Linked DNA regions of Oryzias latipes. The protein of the gene in region 2 binds, or shares a complex with, the protein of the main gene of each other region. Links are inferred from orthologs where the notes say so. Each region holds a gene or a part of one and is shown on either strand. Other genes may lie near its edges.

Region 1 (6,481 bases), on a different chromosome or scaffold from region 2:
GAGCCACATCTAAAACAGTGAGTGGAGGACGAGCAGGAAAGCTAAAAGATGCAGCGGCTGTGAACAGGAAGCAGACAAACCGTGAGCTCCATGAGGCTCACTGCAGAGGAAAATCCCACCACCAGCGGGACTCTGACATGACGCCCTCAGGAGGAGGGGTCGGGATCAAACGATGCTCCGTCTGCCAGTGGGTCTCTTTGAGGAGGATTTGAGCCAAACCCTTTCTTTTCCTGAATCTTTTGACGTTTAGTTTGGTGGGGACAGCACCGGTTCTGTCCCGTCATGGACTCTTTGTCCTGGTGGACTTTTGGATCAACACTGCTGCTGTGATCTCTTTTCTATGAAGCTGGATGAAGCGAAGAGGCTGGTAAGAGACGCCATCACTGCCGGGATCTTCTGTGATTTGGGCTCGGGCAGCAACGTGGATTTGTGCGTCATCACCGCGGCCGGAGCAGAGTACCTACGAGGTTACGACAGGCCAGCAGGGAAGGGGAAAAGGTTGGTACAGTTAGAGCCCTCATGATTGAAGAAGTGGTTGCTATGGTTACCGCAGAAGGGTTTGAAACTCAACAGTGCTGTGTCTGCAAACGTGTCTTGCTTGTGTTTTTCAGAGAGGGACAGTACAGGTACAAGCCGGGAACTACGCCTGTCCTGACCAAAACCCAAACTCCTCTCAGTCTGGACGTGGTCGACGCAACTGTTCAGATGATGGACACTGAATAAAAAATGTCTACATCCGGCATGTTCAAATATGCAACGACGTCCGTACATGCAAGAACATGGCTCACATTTGATCACCTCCTTTTCTTACCGGCATTCGTCCTCAGCAGTATCTAACGGATCTGTGTTAGCATGACCAATGGAACACGCAAAGTGAAATGCTTGATCCGTTCCATGAGGAGAGTAGGAGCCGCAGTATGAATCCTTCTGTTCGCACATTTGAACATGTTTGTTTCGCTGAAGTCAAATAAAATCAAAACAGTTGAAAAATACTGTGAAAAGTGTTGAAGTTACAGTTACGGGTTTTGTTCATGGATTCTGGGTGTGTCGGTGGGCGGCTCTAGATATGAGGGTGTGAGGCCGTAACCCCTGTGCTTAGATGACCCCCCCTTCCATTGACGTGTTCCCCCTACCATGACAAAGGTGGATAAAGGTGGAAAGATTTCATGTAATCCATGGACACCAGTGAAGATCACAAATCATTGAAGAAAAAAGGTTCAGAGCTCTGTCTAGTGGGTCTAGATGACCCAACTCCCAATGGTAAAGTGCCTAGGATAGAACAAGAGTTAACCAGTGACTGTGTATGGAGACCTGGACTGGGCACGCCCCTCCCCCTGGCGTTCCAAACAGGAAGTATCTGCTGGTTCCAAGAAACCAGAATCCCGTACATGTCTATAGAAATGACCAGATGTTCCTCAGTCATTCTATTGGTCAGAAGAAGCGTTCTGGATCTGATACCTTTTGTTAATATATTCTTAATAATCCTCATTTGCTTTCTTTATTCAAGATCTCAGCTGACCAATCAGATCCCTCAGTAAGAGCTTGTGGTGCCTGCTGCCCCCCACCTCTAACGTTTGACAGATTTTCCTGAGCTGCTTTCAGGTCCTGAGCTGAAGGGGTGTGGACTTCAAACAAGCTTACTTCTGATTGGCGACAGTAGTTGCCATAGAAACGACCACTCGCACCAACCACTGTCGTCTGGCTCCAACATGGCGCAACCGTATCGAGGAAAAACGGCGACTGAATCGGGTTCCTTTAGCTGGAGCTGGGGGTTAGGTGTTTTCTACGGGTGGCTCACCCTCGATCAGTCCAGTTCTCTATACAGTCAATGGTTGAAACCGATTTTCTACTATTTTAATTTGTGATTTTATTGATGTAGAGAAAACAGTTAGGTAACATGGAGCAAGACAAGAATCCAGCCCATCAGGAGGGTTAAAGTCCAAACTAGTGAGAAATGACAAAAGTATTCAGACTTTTGAAACACCTAAAGACTCCACCCACCGTACTCATCTGGTGTACAAATGCTGCCTCCACACAGTGTAGATACTGAAAACGAGTGACTCCCAGCATCATGGAGGTCAGCAGAATGCTTGGCAACCATTAAAACATCTGTAGGACGGGGTGATCTATGTGAAAAGGTTTATTTTTCAGTTTGAAACCCAGACTTCACTCACAGCCAGCACTCATACCCACAACACCAAGCACATGTTCTGTCAAAAAGATTCCCAGAGGAGGAAAATGAATCCATGTGACTTTATAAAGTTCCATTTTCCCATGGAAAGTGGGACTAATCCACTTTCTTTGGCTTGTGATTCATCCACACAACAGCTGCTGTGAAAGCCCCTGCAGAGAAGACAAAAACCAGAGGATCACCGCGTCCGTCTGGCATGAAGACGTGTAGACAGCGGGGTCATGAGGTCATGAGACGGCATACTGACCTATCATGAGGAGCAAAACCACTGCTGCAATGCCCGGCAGGATGACAGAGTACTCACGAGGAAGGAAGTACTGCTGCAGCATGTGGTCACCGTCCATGAACGGCTGCAATTGGTGCAAATCACAGTATTAGAGTCCACCTTTGTCCTACAGATATTTAAGAGGCTCCATCAGGACGTACCAGAACCACGACCCACACAGAGTAGTACGAAAACAGAGCCAGGCTGAACAGAACCAGACCCATGCCGACAGCCTGATCCACTCCAGTGGCCTGAAAACCAAGAGCAGAAAAAGTTCATCAGTGACCCAGCTTTGGACCGGGTCTCAGACTGCGGGTGCCGCAGCAGTTAAAGTCAATGAGTTCTATCGCTAGAGGAGACGTCATGGGATTCTTCATGGGAGGAGAGCACCGCCATCTTGGTGAGGTCAAGTCACTGCTGCAGTTCAGCATGTGAACTCAAAATCCCAGTTCATTGTGCGGATTTCAACTGTCAAAATCGAGGAAATTAGTCCACGAAGCAGGAAGGCAGAACATTTCACAGGTAAGTATTTTAATGTTTTTCTTTTAATGCTGGAGGGGCTTCATGAATAGAACACATGTAGACATGCATGATGCTGCAGGGCTGTTATCAACATGCTGCATGATGTACGGAGAATTTGCTGTCGACATAAATGTAAACTTTATTGTGTTAAACCTATATACAGTATACTAGGACTAGGCTATTATAATAATATAGATTTATACATTTCTGACTCAGACTGAACTTTTCTTGCAGGTTTCTAATAGATTCAGACTTCAGGAAAAAGTGGATCTTAGCAATAAAAAGAGCTAACCCAGATGGATCACTGTGGTACCAACTAGTGATACAGTCTGGATATGTTCAGAACATTTGTGGAACCAGACTTTGATGAGAGGCCAGAATGTTAGCCTGAAACCCGACACCAAGGAATCTGTGTTACACAAACTGATCACTAACATGAATCAGTTAATCTATTGTTTCTCTTTGTTTTTTCAGGGTAAATCTGTTATTGACTTTTGGACTTATTGTTGACTTATTATTGATTTATTCTTATAATTTATTATTATTATTGAATTACTATTTATTATTATTATAATTATTGACTTATGTATATATTGTTATTATTCATTATTATTATTGGCTTCCTATTGACTTATTGTTGGGCTTTTCTAAATAATTTAAATTACGTTTCAAAGAGGTCTAAAACTTCTACATGTTTAAAAATTATTTTTAAAAATTCTTTGTAATAATTTTTTTTGTAAGAAGTCCTGCAACTCTGCATTTTTCATTAAAGTTTGAGCTTTTAATGCTGCCTGTTTCTCTTATTTAAAAACAAATGATGCATATACATAAATGATATACATATATATTTATATATAGGTATAAATATATATAAAAGCTACTAGATGCCACTAAAGGCAATAGAAATCATTGTCACGTGGGCGCTGACGACCTCACCAAGATGGCGTCGCGCTCCGCCACCGTCGGCCAGGCTTCCCAAGCGGGTGTGTCTCCTCTAGTGATAGAACTCATTGGGTAAAGTTTCTGTGGGATGTTCTTCTAACTTCAGAGTAAATAAATACAATGAAAAAGGCCAAACTGACTACAGCTGCGGCTTCAATCTCAGCGTTTTTTCATGTGCGGTGAATAAAAATGTCAGAGACCAAACGTCCGTTTTGTCCGCATTCCCGTGAGGAGAAAACATTCCTGTCGTTCTTCTGAAGGCCGGTTAGGGACCCGGTTAGGGACCCGCGGATCGTCATTAAGCCTTAAGCGTCAAGAGCTCAACGCGAAACTTCAACCTGCTTTTAGGCACAATTCTTCATGACGGCGGCCTGTAAAGGTCAAACCACTGCGACTGTTTATCCCCGTAAAATCATGTTTGTAAAGGGATTTCCTATAAAATAAATTACTTAAACGCCGCTCACCATTGTTGACAGGCGGTAGAACCACGTGACCTCCGTTTTTCCGGTTGGTTTATGTCCGGCTGCAGCTGCAGGAGAAAGTCCCGTGACCGCCCCCTGCTGGTCTGGAGTAACATGACAAATAGAAAAACGTCCCGCCTGATTTTGTTGTTTTTTACATTTTCTGTCTTGTGGGATTCCTGAAGCAGCAAACAGTTGGCGTTTCGACATCCTGGCCATTTGGAAAGGAATATTTTTTATGACTTTAGGATTTGTGTTGAGATTCATGCTGGAGTCTCACAGGAACGTTCATATTCCATAAATCCATTTTCTGCACTAACCCACTTCAACACGACAATCTGGCTCCAAGAGATCGGCTTTAGTCATGGTGGTCATCCTCAGGCAAAGCTACATTATTCCCTGGACTTATGGACCGGACCATCCAGGAGTCATGGACCGGACAACGCTTCTGCAGTGATATGAGTCATCACTTTTTTGATTAAACTAAAGAAATGGTAGTTACTGGTAAACACTCCTACCAGTAGAACCCGCTCATCCACATTCAAAATAATGAAATAAAAACTATCCAATACTTTCATAACAAATCTCTAAGAAACAGAAATCCGTACATGATGAACCTTTTTTTTTAATCCAGGTCAGAAAGTAGATCATCAAGAACAAAGATTTGTTTAAAAAAATAAACAAATACATTTTCAGAGAGCTTAAGTGTCGACATTCCGCTAAATAAATACATAGTTCAGCGATACAGTTCAGAAAAGTTGCTTTTGAGTTCAAAGATTTTAAAATACATGTTTTTAATTTACAATGCAGTCCCAATGTTTAGACCAGCTAGTTGGTGTGCAAACAAGAGCAAATGTTGCAGACACTGATGCATTCATGTTCCTGCAGTGATAAATGCTCTTTGCTGCTGAAAAAGATCATTCATTAAGAACAAACTACAGATCTGACGGTAAAGACATTTGACCACTAAGTATTTGCTCATCACTCATTATTTAATTAGAGTAAAAAAACTATAGAAACACAATCCAGAACTGTTGCCCTAGTTGAGGCCTGGCCTGGGTTGGCCCGCCCTACTGCCAACTCCTGGGGCTACCGGGTTGATCCTGCCAGCAGAATTCACTCGTCTGAAAAATGAACCATCCAAGTCAGTTTGGTAAAGCAAGAACTGACCTGCGTGGAGAAATGAATCTGAATAAGATAGTCAAAACATAGCCAGTTGACAGTTGACAGTTGCTCTACGTCAATGTTACCCTACTTTTTATTTAAATACTTAAGACTAAATAATAATGGATTGATCTGCTTTTCCAGACGCTCAAAGCGTTAACAGTGAGTCCATCATTCATTCATACTTGGTGATGGTAACTACTGATGTAGCCTCAGCTGCCCTGGGGCAGACGGACAGAGGCGTGGCTGACAGTTGGCGCCTACGGCCCCTCTGACCATCACCAGGACATTCATGCACATTCATGCACCAGTGGAGGCAGGGAGGGTGAAGCGTCTTCCCCAAAGACACGACAGTTGGCTGGGGGGAGAGGGGATCGAACCAACGACCCTTCGATCATTGGACGACCTGCTCATCTGCCTGAGCCACTGCCACCCATCCATCCATATATCCATCCATCCATCAAATTTCAGAAGTTTATTCACTTTCCCACCAGAGACAACAACACACTGGATCAAGTCTACTGCAACATCCCAGGTGCATACAAGGCTGCAGCAGCTCCTCACCTGGGCATGTCGGATCACATCTCTGTGGAGCTAACCCCCACATACAGACCTCTGATCTGCAGGACCAAACCAACCATCAAAACAGTTCAGGTATGGACCGAAGAGGCTTCTTCTGCACTACAGGACTGTTTTGAACTCACTGACTGGGAGGTGTTTAAAGATGGCTCAGACCTGGAGGCCTACACAACATCCGTCCTGAGCTATGTGCTGTTCTGCACCGATGCTGTTCTGCCCACAAAGTCCATCAAAGTCTACCCAAACCAGAAACCATGGTTTGATGGAACAGTGCGGTCTTTGCTCAAAGCTCGGGATGCAGCCTACAGGTCAGGTGACAGGCTGGCCTACAGCAGAGCCCGGACAGAGCTGAGGAGG
Region 2 (6,620 bases):
TGAAGCTGTAGAGTTAGTTCAGGTGCGTCGCCTGTTCGTCCTGGGAGAGGATCCATCCTTCATGTGGACATCGCTGAGGTTTTTGAAGGTCAAACGATCCAACGGTTTACATCCTGTTACTGAGCTCCATCTTTCCACTGTTTGAATACAAACTATTGCTTTTTTAAAGATTTTCCTTTTAGACATTTTTATTCTTTAGAGGAGCACTTGGTGCATAATTGAGGTATTATTAGAGAGAGAGTTCAATAAACAGTTTGTTTTGGGATGTGTATATTTGCTGGAATCTCTTTAGGGGGCATCAGCTGTGATTCAGACTTTAAAGAAGTGCTTCCTCATATTGTCTTACCGATTAACCAGTACGGTCCGTGCAGATCCTCCTCCACCTCCCTGCCTTTGAATGAGGACTCCCAGAGTTCCTGCTCCGAAGTGCTCCCTACGCAGCATTTCTCCACACTCAGGATGTTGCCCTGGGAATCGCATATGAACTGGCTCACCACCGACGTGAAGCCCTGCGCGTTGATGAAGGACTTAAAGAACTCCTTCTCATACGGAGAAGCCCTGATCTTAAACTGGGCAGGAGCCATGGCTCCCAGGACGTTGGGGATTTTGCAGAACTCTTTAATGACGGCGGCGTTTTGAATCCTGGCTTCCGCGGTGAGAGGGAAAGAGATGAACACGTCCGACATCCCCGCGATGACCCCCGATGCTGAGCTGGCGACGCTCGTGAGGCTGGCGTGCAGGCACGAGCCCACTTTCTGCACCACGAGCGGGCTGAACGCGCCATGCGCGAAGTAGTTAAGAGCCACCATGACGAACGCGTCCACCGGAGGCGAGGGTTTCTTGCAGGAGACCGTTTTCATGCGGATTCGAACGGCGTCGACGATGAAAGCGATGCAGGGCCGCGTGAGGTGGAAGTATTCGAACAAAGCGGCGTCGTTGAATTCGTCAAAACAGGTCGAGTTCTCCTTCTCCGCCGCTTCTTCTTCCAGGAGAAGCTCGTGCACCGCCAGCCACACCGGAACAGCAAACGTCATTTTTGTTTGTTTGGAACGTGTATTTGAAGACAATAAGCACAAAACTAAACAACAAAAATGTGGAATACTTGGAAGAGGAGCAGCACCCTGTTATTGCTTTTCTTCGTCTATCAATAAAGTTAACAAAACGCAGCACCAAACTCACTACTGCCCCCTGCTGTACATTTAAAGATCTTTGTGCCAATAACAATAAATGACACACAGGACAATTTTCAAAATGAAACACCAAAAAATCTCCTTATTTGTAATAAAATGAAGTGTAAACAGAAAAGGAGGGAAATAGGACCCCCAATCTTTTTTTAAAATATCTTTTATGCACTTTTGTCATCTTTGAATTGTACAAAAATACAAAGGCAACAATGAAACAACAAGATATACAGTATATATATTATTTTATGTTTAGCCAGAAACTATAAACACAACTTGGTTCAGCTTTGAAACTTTATCTATTTTGTCTAAAATAACAAAAGTTGAGTTTATCTTGTGGAAAAATACCTCATCTTTAATGCACTGAAACATACTGTAAATGAACATATTTAAGTGATATTTTCTTATTGGTATGATGGAAACATCTTGATCAATTAAGAAAAAAAATTTAAAAGGTAAATAGCAAAGTCACAGTGCAAAAGTTACATACAAACCCACTAACCAGACCTGTTAACTTTGCATACAAATTTGCAAAAGCGAACAGATTTGGCATATTACACCATCAGAAAGGTTCCCCCAGATTATTAATAAATGAACAGAGAAACCACAAAACACCCAGCAGCAGACTGTTATGTTTTGGGTGATAAATAAAACATTTTGTTGACATCACTGATGGAGACATCCTTTATTCGAGGTATTCCCCCCTTCTGCAGGCATTCTTCACTCTGCTTTAGTGCATAAATATCTAAAAGACACAAAGAAGACACTTAAAGCTGTTTTCTTGGTGGTGTTTTCTTAATTTTGACATAATATCCGACCTTTTTGACATAAATTACTCACCCTTATTTGTATTCATTTATTTTAAAAGTATATGCTTTTATTATGTGAGGTACAGTTCCTTTTTTAGAAAAATGCAGCTGCAATTAGCGCATGTTAAAGCTAGTTCGGTTGTATTACTCCTAGCAGTGATTTTACTTCCTTTTTTTAAAATTCAATATAATTTCACTTCAAACAGCTTTTCTGTGATTTACGCTGACTGTTAGCCTGCAGCCATAAACTCACCTGTGATGTTGTCCACAGAGTCCAGTGGGGCTGTGTTGCTCATGTTGACCCCAAATAACACCACAACAAACACCAGTATTGCCACCAGCATATATATTGGCACTGCGAGAGCCCAATACCTGCATCAAACATTTCACTTTAAGATTCAAACAAAGGCTAACAAGCCTAGGGTAATCTCATTGTAAAAAGACATAAAACATAAATTCTAACTTGTCATATTGTTGCTACTTACTTTTGAGGCCAATAAGTGAGCCCTATAGAATGAAGCCATTCCTCTGGTATGTATGCCCACAAGCAGTACAGAACTTTGGGAAAAGAAACAGAACAAACATATTTTATTAAGAGAATTCTTTGATACTCTTTTAGGATAGACTTTTTTTTCAAATTGTTCACGAACTATTTTTACTTCTGTTCTGTTACATTATCTTACATTTATGTATAAACATATGTCCTTTCATTTCAATTTATTTTTAAATCTGATGCTTTTTCATACAGAAAGACCATCCAACCAATAAAAAAGACAACCTTTGAGGAAAGTGTAAATATTCATTTATAAGCAACAGAGTTATGTGATATTCCAAATTGAAATCTTTTTAGAATTATTGGGATTATTAGAAGAATTTTCTTTTAAATGAGAAAAAGACAATCCAATTTAAAAGTTAAACAAGACTTCTTCATTTGGCTTAATACAATTTTGCCGACTTATTAAATTGTGTAGTTTTAAGCCTAAATATGAACATAACAGGCCTATTAAAAAAATCCTACTTTTTACCCAAAACAACAACAACACACAACTAGCGTTTTAAAGTAATTTACAATATTTAAGTCACTACCATCCTGCCATCTTTCAGCTGAATTTTTAAAAATATATATAAACACAATAACCTTTTACTAATGTATACCTTGAGATATAAATAACTTAAAAAAAACTAATTATTGAAAGAATTCTATTGAGAAAAAAATCCAAAAAGGCTTGTTTTTTTTAAGTGAAGTCACATTGAATTAATGGCAGTCTGTTTTTCAGGTGGTCAACTATTTATCACCCTAGTAGTAAGGAGATTTAAATCTCCACCGAGAAACGGTTATTCTATTTTAACTCAAGTGAGTCGTCCTGCACATTTACAAATTTCAATGAGATTAGATTTATGGCAACATAAACAAAAGGAACAGAATGTCTTTGCTATATTACCAAGAGCCGTAGAGATAAGTAATTCCACAACATTTTACGTTGAATGACATCTTCTGCAAATAGAACTATGCTTCTAATTTGAAAGAACATGATGTGATGGGACTTAACTTACAGAAGCCAAACTGGGAGCCAAGGAAGAGAACAAACCCATAGATTGCTCTCTCTGGCATAGGTGATGGGGAGTTTTCAACCATGATCTGAAACCAGAACACAAACAGACCATCTATTGGGTAAAATAATCGAAAATAAACAATGACAAAAAGTCACTAAACTTACCGACAGATAATAAGTGTATTTTGGTTCGTAAGAAGAGCAGCAAGTTTACAAAAACCCCTAAAAACAGTTTAAATGTTTCTCAAATAGCTTGTTTATATCGTACCATCAGCTAGGTTCAACGATAGATAAAATCCAATTCTACTATTTCAAACGAAACATAAATAAAAATGTAAAAAGTGCATCTAATCATATTACGCCAAAACCTAGCTGACTGCTGTCAACAAAACGTTAGTCCATCACCTAAATGAGTTCGGTCAGAAACTGTACATCAGGAACAAAAGACTTTAAAGAAATAAAGCAAAATTACATATCAATCTTGTGTTCTTTGTTAGTAATGTATAGATATTAAAAACTATTTTCAAGCTTGAAAAAAGAAAGAAATAAAAAAATCAACGAAGGGAGAACTTTCTGCCGCTCGAACGAATCATGTTACTTTTTTCCTGACGAACATATTTGACTGTTACTCATTCCAGAAGCACCGCAGCATGGCTTCGTGAATGTGAAGGTAAACAACTTGAAACATAATTTTTCCCTGTTTGGGAGGATAATAAAGTGGCTATTTTTGCTAATAGAAACAGTGTGTGCCCTTTATCTGGGATACATATGTATGTGACACAGCGTTAACTGTTTTCGTTTACATCTCACCTAAAATTGGCTTCTTTCAAAAACGTGGCTGTGTAACACAGCAAATACTCCCTGAAGTTTAAAGAAGTGCGACCACGATGTCTAAAATCAAAGGAAAGGAAACTCCTGCTGGAAAAACGCAACAGCTGACGTCCAAAGAAAAAAGGAAGAAGTTTTTTATAAAGCATAATCGTAAAAAACAAACTTCCCAAAAGACTCTAAACAAGAAAAATCTAGAAAATCCTGGAGCAAAGCAAACTGCACCACCACAGGATCCCCAACAGTTTTCTTCCAACTGGAAAGCATTACAAGAGGTTTGTCTGACGAATATTAAACTCTATGCTCTTCATAAGCTGTGCAACTACTTATGTGAAAATGTATTTACTTTTAAAATGTAATTATCTTCTTTGTTTCCTGAACATGGCAGATCTTAAAGAGCAGTCAGCCAGAGAAGAAGCAGCCTGTTACACCAAAACATCGGAATGGTGTCTTCCCTAAGAAGTTTAAAGGAAATGAGCCTAAAAAGTTTCAAAATAAGAGCCCTGCTCCCAGCCAGGTGCACACAGACAGAGAGGGAAAAGTCAAAAGTGGCGATGCCCCAAAGGAGGATGGGGTGAAGGCAAAGATCCACGCCGCCTTAGACAAACTGCAACCTGGTGGTGCAAGGAAAAGGCAAAACGAAAAGACAGACAATGAGAAACCAGCCAAGAAAAAGAAGCCCGTCACTGAAGAGAGGAAACCCACAGAGTATGTATCCTTATTGCTAATACTTGACTTCAGTTCGGGTTTGCCTTGTAATCTTTGCTTGTGCTGCTGTAGGGAGGACCTTTGGTTTGATGACGTCGACCCTGACGATATTGAGGAAACGATGGGAGCCGAGGCTGCAGAGATCATGAGGAGGAAACAAGGCATGAAAACAAGCAAGAACGTAGATAGCGTTCTGGTAAAAGAGAACGCCTTTGATGGGTAAGAGAAACTGTTTTGTGTTCTTACGGTCAAAATGCCACACCTTCATTTGCTATCGATCAACTCTAGTTGAAATTCACCTTTCTTTATAGAGCTCTTTTCCTGTTAAAAAACACCTCAAAGTCTTTTACATAAATAAATAATAATTATATTAGTATTTATAATAAACACATGTTGTGTACAAAAACTAGCAGGAAAAAATAATCCATAAAATCAAATTAAAACATGAGGAAATGTAAAATCGACATAAAAGCTAAACTAAAAAGGTGAGTTTAGGCCAAAGTTCTGCCATGTGGCCTCGCTGTGGGTTTTTGTTTATGACCTCAGGGAGCACCAGCATAACTGGATCTGAGGGCTCTGGGAGGGTCGTCTGCTAACACCAGCTTGATTAAAATTAAAGTGCAATTTCATTAAACTAAGAAAAGTACCTTAAAATCGATCCTAAAGCTGACAGAGAACCAGATATTTCAAATTTGGAGTCCTTCTTTTTGTCCTGATATTTTTTGATAATTTTTGCTCAACAATCATTATTATAGTATATTGTTTTAATCTCATCTGCTGCTCTTCTTCATCATTGTTTTCTTGGTCGGATGTGTAAAAGTGTTGAAAAAGTCCATTCCTAGCAACTCTTTAATCTAGTGGGATACTTCCCGTGTGTGTTGCTCTCTTTGGGCATAAGTATGAGTCTTAAAATCGTCGGATTGTTTCGCAATTGCTTCCTGATGAATATGCAGCCATAGCTGTTGCAGAGTTTATGCTCATCTCAACCTGCAGCAGACTGGCTCCAACAGACTCCCTAAGTGGAAGTAGTTGGAAAAACAGCCGTTGCCTTTTTAAACAAGTTTTTGAAAAAATCGGTATAGTTGTCAGTTATACCCCAATAACATCAGATGTTCTCTTACTTCTCTCAAAAGAGAAAATGATTTAATAATGTTTCAGGTGATTTCTGTGGAGAAACTTTAAAACGGGCAGCAGAAAGACTGGACTGTTTCATTAGATGACCTTTTGTTTTCTCCACGTTTGTACGTATGAATATCAGCATCACCAAAGCTGTAGCTATTGATTGTGAGATGGTGGGAGTCGGTCCAGATGGGGAGGACAGCATCCTGGCACGTGTGTCCATCGTGAACCAGTTTGGAAAATGCATCTATGACAAATATGTCAAACCCACAGAGAAGGTGACAGACTACAGAACAGCTGTCAGTGGGATCCGACCGGAACACATTAAAAATGGTAAGAAAACGAGACATCACTGTATACTTAGATGTTTATTGCTTTCAAACAATCCTCTGTGCTTTTGAACAGTGTCAAAATGTGATTTT

Evidence for each region. The genes of interacting proteins can lie anywhere in the genome.
Region 1: pigp (region 2) and dpm2 share a complex: the UniProt entries of both Homo sapiens proteins name them as parts of the glycosylphosphatidylinositol-N-acetylglucosaminyltransferase (GPI-GnT) complex. The link is inferred for Oryzias latipes from reciprocal best matches to the Homo sapiens genes PIGP and DPM2.

The regions. Positions count from the first base shown.
Region 1 is NC_019870.2:30,338,674-30,345,154, reverse strand, and holds dpm2 (dolichol phosphate-mannose biosynthesis regulatory protein), read right to left. Parts: upstream 4,408-6,481; 5' UTR 4,220-4,407; coding exon 4,121-4,219; intron 2,708-4,120; coding exon 2,618-2,707; intron 2,542-2,617; coding exon 2,439-2,541; intron 2,344-2,438; coding exon 2,288-2,343; 3' UTR 2,123-2,287; downstream 1-2,122. Other genes in the region: proteasome subunit beta type-7, read left to right, coding at 347-498, 612-723. UniProt on the Homo sapiens protein: Regulates the biosynthesis of dolichol phosphate-mannose. Regulatory subunit of the dolichol-phosphate mannose (DPM) synthase complex; essential for the ER localization and stable expression of DPM1.
Region 2 is NC_019877.2:8,246,482-8,253,101, forward strand, and holds pigp (phosphatidylinositol N-acetylglucosaminyltransferase subunit P), read right to left. Parts: upstream 3,965-6,620; 5' UTR 3,709-3,964; intron 3,630-3,708; 5' UTR 3,627-3,629; coding exon 3,545-3,626; intron 2,549-3,544; coding exon 2,476-2,548; intron 2,363-2,475; coding exon 2,244-2,362; intron 1,927-2,243; coding exon 1,811-1,926; 3' UTR 1,329-1,810; downstream 1-1,328. Other genes in the region: putative nuclease HARBI1, read right to left, coding at 347-1,034; rexo4 (RNA exonuclease 4), read left to right, coding at 4,431-4,646, 4,760-5,079, 5,152-5,298, 6,338-6,531. UniProt on the Homo sapiens protein: Part of the glycosylphosphatidylinositol-N-acetylglucosaminyltransferase (GPI-GnT) complex that catalyzes the transfer of N-acetylglucosamine from UDP-N-acetylglucosamine to phosphatidylinositol and participates in the first step of GPI biosynthesis.